Macaca mulatta: one gene and its partner. The protein of the gene in region 2 interacts with the protein of the main gene of each other region in a biochemical or structural test. Links are inferred from orthologs where the notes say so. Each region holds a gene or a part of one and is shown on either strand. Other genes may lie near its edges.

What was found.
Region 1: the proteins of ARF1 (region 2) and ARFGAP1 form a complex in vitro, tested with the Homo sapiens proteins (2 studies listed by BioGRID, with this or other methods). The link is inferred for Macaca mulatta from reciprocal best matches to the Homo sapiens genes ARF1 and ARFGAP1.

What each region holds. Positions count from the first base shown.
Region 1 is NC_133415.1:116,133,970-116,138,893, reverse strand, and holds part of ARFGAP1 (ADP-ribosylation factor GTPase-activating protein 1), read right to left. Parts: intron 3,298-4,924; 5' UTR 3,294-3,297; coding exon 3,234-3,293; intron 2,784-3,233; coding exon 2,674-2,783; intron 2,395-2,673; coding exon 2,223-2,394; intron 1,683-2,222; coding exon 1,582-1,682; intron 694-1,581; coding exon 607-693; intron 30-606; coding exon 1-29. UniProt on the Homo sapiens protein: GTPase-activating protein (GAP) for the ADP ribosylation factor 1 (ARF1). Involved in membrane trafficking and /or vesicle transport.
Region 2 is NC_133406.1:85,833,792-85,839,414, forward strand, and holds the start of ARF1 (ADP-ribosylation factor 1), read left to right. Parts: upstream 1-2,268; 5' UTR 2,269-2,309; exon of another isoform or gene 2,310-2,394; intron 2,395-2,470; exon of another isoform or gene 2,471-2,989; coding exon of another isoform or gene 2,990-3,051; intron 3,052-5,623. UniProt on the Homo sapiens protein: Small GTPase involved in protein trafficking between different compartments. Modulates vesicle budding and uncoating within the Golgi complex. In its GTP-bound form, triggers the recruitment of coatomer proteins to the Golgi membrane.

The DNA.
Region 1 (4,924 bases), on a different chromosome or scaffold from region 2:
CAAACCCCACGTAGCGATTCCCCTGAGCTCTGAAAACAAAGCGGACAAGAGGCTGAAGATGCTGGCGTGAACCCTGCTCCTCCTGAAGGTGTGGGGCCCTGAACAGAGGTGAGGCTGAGGCTCTGAGGGATGTGCCAGCGTCCCCCAGCACAGGACATGCACGCTGCCTCCCGTAGCAGCAGGAGCCTTGGCAGCTCCCCAGCAGCAGACAGACGTGCTTCCTGCTCATTTAAAAAGACCCTCCTGCCACATCACCAGAGAGGGTCCCCAGCAAGTCCCCAAACCCAGTCATAGAAGTACTGGAAGAAGGATCAAAACAACTTAATATGACAGCTTTGGGGATAAAAATTCACGTATAGGTCCAGCAAATTCCAAGCAGAAAATGTGTTATGCTTTTCTTCTAAGTGTTAGCTCTTCTCTACACCCAAGACCCCCAATCCACACCCGGGTGGGCAGCCGGGGCTCACTGCAGTCAGACCCTGCACCGGCACGTACGGGTCCCACACCCACTGCACACGGGAGGCCCCGAGGGAAGCAGCCCTACCCAGCAGACTGAACCCCGTGGGTCTGGCCTTCCCCAGGCATCCCCAGCTCTCAAGTCCTTACCCTTGATAGGAGCCGAGGTCATCATTCAGCCAGTCTTCGAAAGCCTTGTCCGAGGAGGCGGTCACACTCTGCAGCTGGCCAGAGGCTCTGAAACCAAGAATCAAAGGCTGGTGAGGTCAAAACTGGGTGAAGTCTGAGGGAACCCCAGCAGCACCCCCAGAACCATGTGGCCTATGTGGGCAGCGCCTTCACGTCACCCGAGAGCACCTGAGGCCAGGGTGGCCTTCAGCTCTGAGCGGATGTTCAGGCTCAGGTGCTGAAACCCAGCAATGCCAGCCTCATGGGCACCACGAGAGGCCTCCGCAGTGGGCTCTGCACTCTCCCCGTCAGCAGGAGGCAGAGGCGAGAGGTGGGGGAAGAGGACCGAGGGCCTGGAATCAAGCTGGAGTTGCCCGAAGTGCAAAGCCTTCTGCCAGAAACACCTGGCTGGCGGGGCTCCGGGGCTCCAGGTGAGGTGGGGAGGCCTCGTGCTACCCAGTCACCTCACCCGGGATGTTCCCTGCAGTGGGACGTGGGATGCATCCATGACAGGGGTCAGTTCAAGGGTGGCAGGGCCAGTGCCACAGGTAGATGGGCAACTCTGGGGAAGAGGAGACAGCACCTCTGTGGGCAGACGGAGTCGTGAATCCCACAGCGCCACGGCGCACACGGCTGTGTGCAAACGTGAATCCCACAGCGCCACGGCGCACACAGCTGTGTGCAGACGTGAATTCCCACAGCGCCACGGCGCACACGGCTGTGTGCACATCTGGAAGGCGTGCAGAGCCTACCTGGGGCACTCTTTGAGACAGTTTTATGGGTTGAAATTTACAAAAAGCTTGAATTGTTTTGGCAATTTAAAAAATCTGTTTTTCTCACTGACTTCTGGGAAAAGAGCTGTCACAACAGCAAAGAAGGGAATTCTGTGGGGTAACCCAGTCGACTAAGATCAGGGCCCAGTGGAAACTGCACTGAGGCCCCATGAGGAGCAGCTACCGGTGTGCCGTGAACGGCAGGGTCCTGGGCTGAGGTGGGGTCCAGTTCTGGGCAGGTGATGACTCCAGAGACCACTCTCTACCTTCGGCCAGAGCGGCCACCTGACAAGGAGACACGGGGCATCAGAGAGCATAAAGGTGCCTGGCGACACCCTGGGGCACCGCTGACTCTAGCGCAGCCCCCTCGGCCCGCCTGGAGCATCCACCACCCGTAGCCTCCTCCTGGCCCCGCTCGACGACCCCTGCTCAGGTGCACAGACCAGGTGTGGACGCGAGGCCAGGGCTCCCTTTACATGAACAACAGAGCTGGGGAGCTCCTAGTTGGTGCAACTCCAACTTCAAACGCAGGGGGACCCACCCATTTGGCCTCCAAACTTCTTAGAAACACTGTGCCCAACAAGTCACAGAGGCAGTAAACGGTCACAGCTACTTTCTCCCCTGGAGGCAGGGAAGGTCCATCTCTCCCACAAGCCATGTGCCTCCCCTCTGGGCAGGGCAGCAAGGACCACGACATTCCCTTCTGTCCCGGACTATGTGTGGCCCAGTGGGTGTGTCAGAACCAGCAAAAGAACCAACTCCAGAACCACTAAAGGCAGAGCAGCCCCGCACCATGGGGCAAGAGTGAGTCGGGCCCATCTCTACCTTATCCCTAAAGAGGGCCGCGGCTCTGCTGTTGTACTTCTCCTGCAAGGACCAGCCGGGATCGTAGTCCTCCTGAGACTCCAGGAACTCTCGGAACTTAGCATTCCCGCCAGCTTTCATCTTCTCAAGCTCAATGTCCTTCCACTTGTCCATAGTAACAGAGCGCACAAAGCTGGAAACCAGAGGATTGAGCAAATCAACCAGCACCGGGGACACCCAGGGACACCCTCCACCCGACATCGTCCTGAGAATTAGACACAGCAAGCAGCAGCCGCAGGGAGGCCGAGTGGCCAGCAGCCGGAACCCTGTGCCATGGCGTCACTGGAGTGGACACTGGCAACTCAATGGGAGATGGCCCCCAAGCTTCCCTGGCGTCAGCACCTCCAGTGTCAGAAACAGACGCTGGGAAGGCCGCAGGCTCTCCGCAGAGCCGGAGTGGTAGGACACTGACCTGAGGTGCACCCCAAGCCCACGGTGTCTCCCCGAACATTCCAGGCAGATCCAGATGCCATAGGTCACACTGACCCACTGAGGATTGAATGCGCCACACTCAAAACAAACCTGCAAAGGGGCCACAAGTGACTCACCAGGTGGCTCAGGGCAGAGCCCAGGGACCCCAAAGATCCGACAGGTGGCCTCAAGAAGCAAATGCAGAGGGCTGCCCAGGGTGGCCGGGGGTGTGGGTCAGGGCAAGGCGTGAGGGAAAAGAGTCTCCCATGTAATAAAATGTTCAGATGGGAAGATGAGGCGGACCTGTCCTTAGAGCAATGTGGCCTGAGGAATGTGGAGGAGCCCCCACCCCCAACAGCCAGCACTGATGAGCGCCAGAAATGGCACCACTCTAAGAGCCGGCCACCCAGGCCACCAGCCAGCACAAGTCACACACGTCCAGAGGACGCCAACCACCATCGACTCCAGGAGGGTCTCAGAACCACGGACTCAGAGCACAACCTCCCGAGACTCGCTGACCCTGACCAAGGCTTGGGGCGGGGGTGGGGGGCAGAGGCTTACGTTGTTCTCATCCTGCACCCTGACTTCTTTAAGAACCTTCCTGGTTCTTGGGCTGGCCATGATGCTGCAAAGGAGAAAAACAAACACTTTAAACTTACAAACAGGCTACTCTACAAAAAAGAAAATAACGTCTGTCCAAAACCCCACACAACAGAAAACCTGAGAGGCCATCTGCTGAGCTGCTGGGAAGCCCTGGTCACAGGGCCGCCCGCTGCAGGGGCCGAGAGGACCACGTACTGAAGGACTCTGCTCCCCATATCCCCAGGGGGCTCCCAGGCTGTGGCCGGGGCGATGGCCAGGAAGACCACGTAATTACTGGTGCCACTTTGCTTACGGTTATCCACCACCAAGACCGCATCATTTATAGAAAGTCCTGTCTTCTAATGGTGAAATTCACAGCAAGGGGCAGTCTTTAAAAACACACACAGACTGGCTGCTAAATTCAATTTTCCACCTAAAAGGCGACACACCACACTTGGGCTGATCACTACCAACGACAGGGAGCCCAGGGACTCGGCGCTCCACCCTCCCCACCACATCGCCAACGCAGTGCAGGGAGGCTCCTGCCCGTGTCGGGGCAGAAGCGGTACCCTGCCTGGATGTGTGGAAAGTCCAGCCTGCTGGGGGACCTGCAGGTAGGGCCTTCTGGGGCCATTCTGAGGCATGGGGGCAACAGTGTGGCTGCTGCAGGACAAGGAGAGTGGCTTCATACCATCAGCCCCGCCACGGTGACTCACAGGGACCCTAGTGGGACAGTAGCAACAAGGTTTAGGGTGAAGAGAAAACCTATTGATGTTTCTGTAGCTCTCCTAGCTTTAGCAAAGTACAACTTCAACTGATGGCCCATCTGATTCAGGACCAGGAAAATCGACATAGTTAAGATTCTAAGCAGGAGGAAGGGGTGGTACCAACCCCAGCGTCAAAGGAGAATGACCCAGCGGTCCTGCACACAGCAGCACCGAGCAAACTGTAGAAGACAGTCCAGCCTGGAGGCAGCAGACCTGGATCCCCACCAGCCCACGCCTCAGTGCACTGTTTTTCTGAGGCTCACCCACCTCTCAATACGAATGCAGCCGTGTGCTGTTCCCTCTACCTCTCACTACACGGAGAACACGCAGAACTCTGTAAGCCATGGGACCTTCCCAGCACCAGCCCTCCCCTCCTTCACTGTGTTTAGGAGGAGACCGTGTCGACCAGCTTTCCCACTAACGTTGTAGGTGGAACTTTACGTTGAGGTGAAGCTTTAAAAAAATTAAAAATTAAAAAAAAAAACCCTCTGTCCTATATTTCATTTCTAATCTTAAGTATCCAGAAACAAGGTATTCACTGGGGGAGTCCCAACTCCACACAGCCAAAGTTTCTGAATTCTGAAGCCCATGACTCCTAATATTGACCAGTGCCCACTTTAAACCCATTCAAAGTCAGGAAATAAACACCTGTTTTCTGCAGTTCATAAAAACAAAACCAAAGTTCACCCTGGGCTCCCTTCTGCTCCATAATTCTCTGTGCCTTGTGTGAGAGTGTCCGGGAACCACAGATCATGAGGCAGTGAATGCTCACTCCTGATCGCAAGACTCGGACCCCAGCATGACTCATTCAGGCGGATACCGTCATCAAACTGAGCATCCACCAGTACAGCCGACTGAGGACGGAAGAGGGAGAACCTGTGTGGAGAGATGCCCTGGCAGGCG
Region 2 (5,623 bases):
ACCTGGGCTCCCCTGCGCCTGTCTGGCTTGAAGACATCACTTTTGTCCTGGTGGTGGTGGGGAGGCCAAACCAGGAGCACAGAATCAGCGGAAAGGGACTTTTTAAAAAATTATTATTATTTGCAGACAGGGTCTCACTCTGCCACCCAGGCTGGAGTGCAGTGGCAGAGTCCTAGGTCACTGTAACCTTGAACTTCTGGGCCCAAGCGATCCTCCCACCTCAGCCTCCCAAGTAGCTGGAACTACAGGTGTGTGTCACCATACCTGGCTATCTTTGTAAAATTTTTGTAGAGATGGGGTCTCATCATGTTGCCCAGGCTGGGGAAGGTACATTTCTTAACCCTAGGGCTGTGTATACAGAAATCCATTTTATTACTTTTTAAACTGTGCATGTATCTGACATACACTCTTTCCTGTCTGCATTTTTTCACATTTAAAATAAAATATTTTAAAGGGGCCAGGCACGGGGGCTCACACCTGTAATCCCAGCACTTTGGGAGGCCAAGGCGGGTGGATCACCTGAGATCAGGAGTTCGAGACCAGCCATGGCCAACATGGTGAAACCCTGTCTCCACTAAAAATACAAAAATTAGTTGGGCGTAGGGGCAGGCGCCTGCAATCCCAGCTACTTGGGAGGCTGAGGCAGCAGAATTGCTTGAACCCAGGAGGCGGAGATTGCAGTGAGCCAAGATTGTGTCACTGCACTCCAGTATGGGCGACAGAGCAAGATTCCATCTCAAAAAAAGAAAAAAAAAAATAGAGTATTTTAAAGGAAGGGGAAGCAGGCTCTGGTTCCCACACAATCCCCACTCAGTGACACTGGAGCCACCCCTGGCCATGCTCTGCCATCAGAGAACCAAAGCCAGGTCCCTTCAGCCCTAAAGTGGCCATAACCACATGTATCCCCCATGAAATGTCCGAGCATGGTCCAGTTCTGGCTGAGCGGGAGAGGCAGCACAATCAGAAGGCTCCACAGGCATCCACACCCCTCCCTGGGGCTTTCCAAGAGTATCTGAGATGCCTGTAGGGTGGGAGGGAGACATCCTTCCCCTAAACAGACAACCTGCCGCAGCTTCACAGAGGTGAGATTTCAGAGGGGAGCCCCAGGCAGAAAAAGGGACTGAATTTGGGGGCAGGAGGGTCACCACTTCTGGGGTCCTTCGAAGCCCCCGCAGGTGCAGCCCTGGGGGAGAACTCCGACTATCGCAGCCTGCAGTGGCAGTGAGGATGCCCTGCCCAAGGGGCAAGCAAGGTAGGTGATGGCGGCAGCAAAGGGGCGCAGGAGGCCTGGGCCAGGCCCAGTGACCCCACCCCTCAGGCCCTGCCCCCGGGCCTCCCCCTGGACAAATCAGGTTGATTCCCGACCTCCAGAATACCCAGAGAACTGTGCTGCACGGACGCTCTCCCACAAGCCCAATCCCTCACAGCTGCACAAGGGAAGAGGCAAGAAGACCTGAGGGTGGTGGGCAGAGCCAGGCCTCTGTTCCCTTCTGACCAATCCAGGAGGGCTTCCTGGGAGCGGGGTCTCCTCCGCCTCAACTGGATCTCAGCTGAAAGGCCAGCTCATTAGAGACCGCTGTGACCTCCCTTCTGGGCACCACCCCCACAGCCCCGGCCTCCCCCCGGGGTCCCCAGGCCACCTCCTCCTTTGCTTCATCTGTAGCCAACTCCCCGGCATGAGCCCAGGCATGAGCCCGCGCGAGTCACTGCGGCCGCCGGGGCGCCGAGGCCAGTGCGGGGACATAGCAGGCCTCCCTCCTTCGGACCTTCCGCCGAGGCCCCGCGAGTGCCACAGGTTTCCACAGGGCCGGGGCACACGGACCCGCGCAGCCTGGGAGCCAGGGACCCCAATCCCAGCGAAGGGGCGCCTCGCACCCCAGTCCTCACGCGGTCCCCGAGGGCTCGCGGTGACTGCCGGGTCGGGGAGGAGGAGGGTGGCAACCCGGCCCCGCCGCTCCAGTTGCTGCAGCAGCCCCCCGGGCCTCAGTCTCCGAATCTGCCAAACGGGCGTGTGGCAGCCACAAGGTGTCTTTTCGGAAGACTCACAGGCGCAGGCGCAGACGGGTGCGCACCCCTAAGGCGCGCGCGAGCTAGGACCTCGGCCCGGGGCTGGGTGTCCCCGGCCCCGCCCCCTGCAGCCCTTCTGGAGCCAGCGCGCCTGCGTCGCGGGCGCACGGGGGGCGGAGCTCCCGGCGTCTCCGCCTCTTACCCGACGTTCCCCGCGCCCGCAGGCGCTGACGTGGCCGCCGTCAGAGCCGCCATCTTGTGGGAGCGAAACCAACGCCTGGCTCGAAGCAGCAGCTTCTGAGGTGAGGGCGAGGGGCGCGGGTCGGTGTGGGCCGCACACAAGTTGGAGCCGGCGGGGTCTGGGGACTGGCCTCGGGGCGACTTGAGGTTCGCGAAGGGCACCTCGATCCCGGCGGCGGCGGCGGCGACAGGGCCGGGCCGGGGGCGGACGAGGACGGGCCGGGCTGAGGCTGGGGAGTCGGGGCTGGGAGGGCGGGCGGGTCGGTGAGCTCCTCGCGCCCCTCACAGGTTCCCGGAGTCGCCCGCGGCCCCTTGTCCTCCTCTGCCAGTCCCTGCCCCCGCCCGTCGCCCGGAAGTCAGCCGGGACGCCAGGCTCTTCTCCAGGAAACCTGGGCTTCCTGCTTCCCTCACCTCTGCCCCTCACGTTTCCCGAGGCCGCCCGCGCGTGGAGGGTTGGGGTTAGCGGTCTCGGGGGCCGGTGGGGGTTGTGGGGCCTCCTCCACCCGAGTACAGGCTAGCGAGCGGCATCCGGGCGGACCGCTGCCTCGGGGACCGGGAAACTGAGGCTCAGGCGGCCCCAAGACACCGTCAAGGTCACGTAGGTGGTGGGGGCTTGCACCTTCGCCTCCCGACTCCATCCAGTTCGTGTTTCTTCTGAGGAAGGCACTGGGTCAGGGGCGGTGAGAGCGAGCGGGCGGGCAGTGGACAGGGACCCTGCGCCTTTCCCTGTCTGCTGAACGGAATGCGTGGACCTCCGGGGAAGCCCAGAGTGCCTCCCTTCACAACAGTGAGACGCGATTTGGGGTCAGTATGAAGTCTCCGGTGGCTTCCAGAGGGCCGGTCGATGTTCGCTTTAACTCCAGGGTGGTTTCCTTGACGTTGTCGGCAGTAGATAAGAAGGCCTCTTTTGAGCTGGTGAATCTTTAACTTGCCTGCGGAACGACCTGCTCGTAGACTCTAGGCCGCAGAGGCCGGCCCCAGCGCTCTCTCGGGGCACAGCCTGGGTGGTTACGGCTTGTGAGATTGGGTCTGTACAGCCGTGCGCACCTAGAGTGTTAGATAACCATTCCGACGGCACTTCCTGGCGGACTCCCTTTCCGTCCAGGCAGCCAGTTGCTGCTTTGCAGGAATTGAGCAGAAATGCGCTCGGAATCGCGGGCAGAAAAAGAAGGGAGGTCGGAGTCTTTGGATGGTCCCCGAAGTCGCCGCCTAGTTTAGAGCTGTAGAGTTGGTGCCACTGCCCCTATTGGAGTGGGCAGTTGTATTTCTTGTTTCAGAACTAGTGGTCAGCAGTTTTCTCTGCCGCCGGTTGTTGCAAGGCTGGTGGTTCTGGCGTTTTCCGCAGTGTGTTGGGAGGAGTGTGAGATGCCGAGGTGCGGTTGTGTGCGGCCCCTGTGGCCCTCTGCTTTTGCGTTAGCCATTGTCTAACACGTGTGACTGCATGGATGATGTCCTCATTTAATTTGAATTTTCACCAGCACTACCAAGGTAGCCAGAACCATAAGGTCCTGAAATGCCGTACTATTAGCTGGGTCCAAAATTGAGAAGAATTGAGTAGTATAAATGTTAGTATACACATCTGATTGGCCACATTGTTAGAGGTGTGTTGTCCACGTTTTCACATGTTGGTAGACCGGAGAATATCTGTCACTTGTCTTTAGGTGTATCTTGTTGAAAATAAATCCAAATCATTGCAGCAGTAGGAATATGCTGTTGCCTGTCAGGCAGTTTTTCAGATTTGCTAGTTGAAAAAGATTTGAAACAGTTGGTTTGGACAACAGCTGAGTCACAGAATGACTGTGAGTGAAAAGCAAAAACTGGTTCTGTGCCCCTCACAGTTCTGATTTTGTACATCATGTAGTCTAGCTATGCGCTGTACCTCTTGCACAATATGGAGAGGACATTCAGACATCTTCACCTGCTCATCTGCCCCTACAGACTGGACAGGCTTGAAACTATAGCTTCGAAGATGCATTTGGCCTTTCATTTTTCACTTCAGTAAAATTTAATATGGACTGTCAGCTGCTGCAGTGATCATAGAAGTAGACCTAACTAAGAGAAAAAAACCTGTTGTGCAAGTTCACACGCAAAGTATATGACTGTGGTTTCAGAGAGTTGAAGCAGTTTTTTCTAGATTCTTCAAATTAAATGTCTCATTGGTGTATTTAAACCAGCTCTTACTCACAGGCCATGCTCACCAAGCTTTTGTACACACTTCTTCCTGAGCTGTGACCATTCTCTTGAGCAAGAGGCTGCAGCCAGCCTGGGCTGGCAGGCCCATACTGTCTCTCATAGGCATTCTGTCCTCTCCCCCTGACCTTTCACCTCGGTAAACTCAAGAGGGTGAAAGGAAGTAGAGTGCACTGTCAGAGGTAATTGGGAGAGAAACAGGAAAAGGCCTTGCAGTGGGGATCTTAAATTATGAGAACTTGTGTTTTCTGTGTTGTGCCTGCTCCTCATTGGTGTGGTTGGTTGGTAGGGGTATCCTGCCTGTAGCATCTGAAGTGGTCTTTTGGAAAAGGTTTAGCCCCTTCATGTTGGGATTCCAGGATTTGCCTTCATCCTCAGGTTCGTATTTTCCTGTGGTTGTTATAAACTCTTTAAGGCATAGTTGCACTTATCACCTTACAGCTGTGCAGGTGCCCAGCACCGTCTTGGAAGGTAGTTTCACATTCTCAGGTGGGTCAGATGACCTTGTTAGCAACTTGACAGACATGTCCTGGATGTTTTTTGTTCCCAAGAGGCTCTCAGGTCCTCCCCCAGGGTCCTGTCACTCAACCATCTACAGGGATGAGAAGACAGTAAGGCTGGCTGATTAGCCATAATGTCCTTGACTAATCCTGGTTTCCTGGTTCTCACACAGTGGTAACAAGGGCTTGCAGCCGGTTGTCAGCCAACAGACTGGGAAAGGTGGTGCTTCTTACAGGCCCTGATAACAGGAAAAGCCTAAATGACATCAAGAGAAGAGACAGGGAAAGCATAAAAGGCAGATTTTCACAGGCACAGCAATTGAGAATGATTCTGTTTAGAAGGCAGACGTTCTCCCACACCCCGGAGGCCCAGGGCTCACTGTTAGTGTACAGCATGAAGTGAACGGGAGACTTGATTCAGTCCATGAACATTTCAGGAAGTTAGAAGTCTGTAGTTGTGGATTGCAAAATACATATCTGGCCTGCCTCCCATTTCCTGCCATACAACTACTAAAATACTTGGAATCTCCAAAGTGATGATGTCTTTTTGTACCCTAATGAGTTGACCAGTGACGGGCAGCCCCTACGAAACTTCAGGGTAGGGCTAGTCACGGGGCCAAGGTAGGATTAGAGGGTTTCAGCCCCACCCTCCAATTTCCCCAGAGTGGAGAGGGACTGAAGATTGA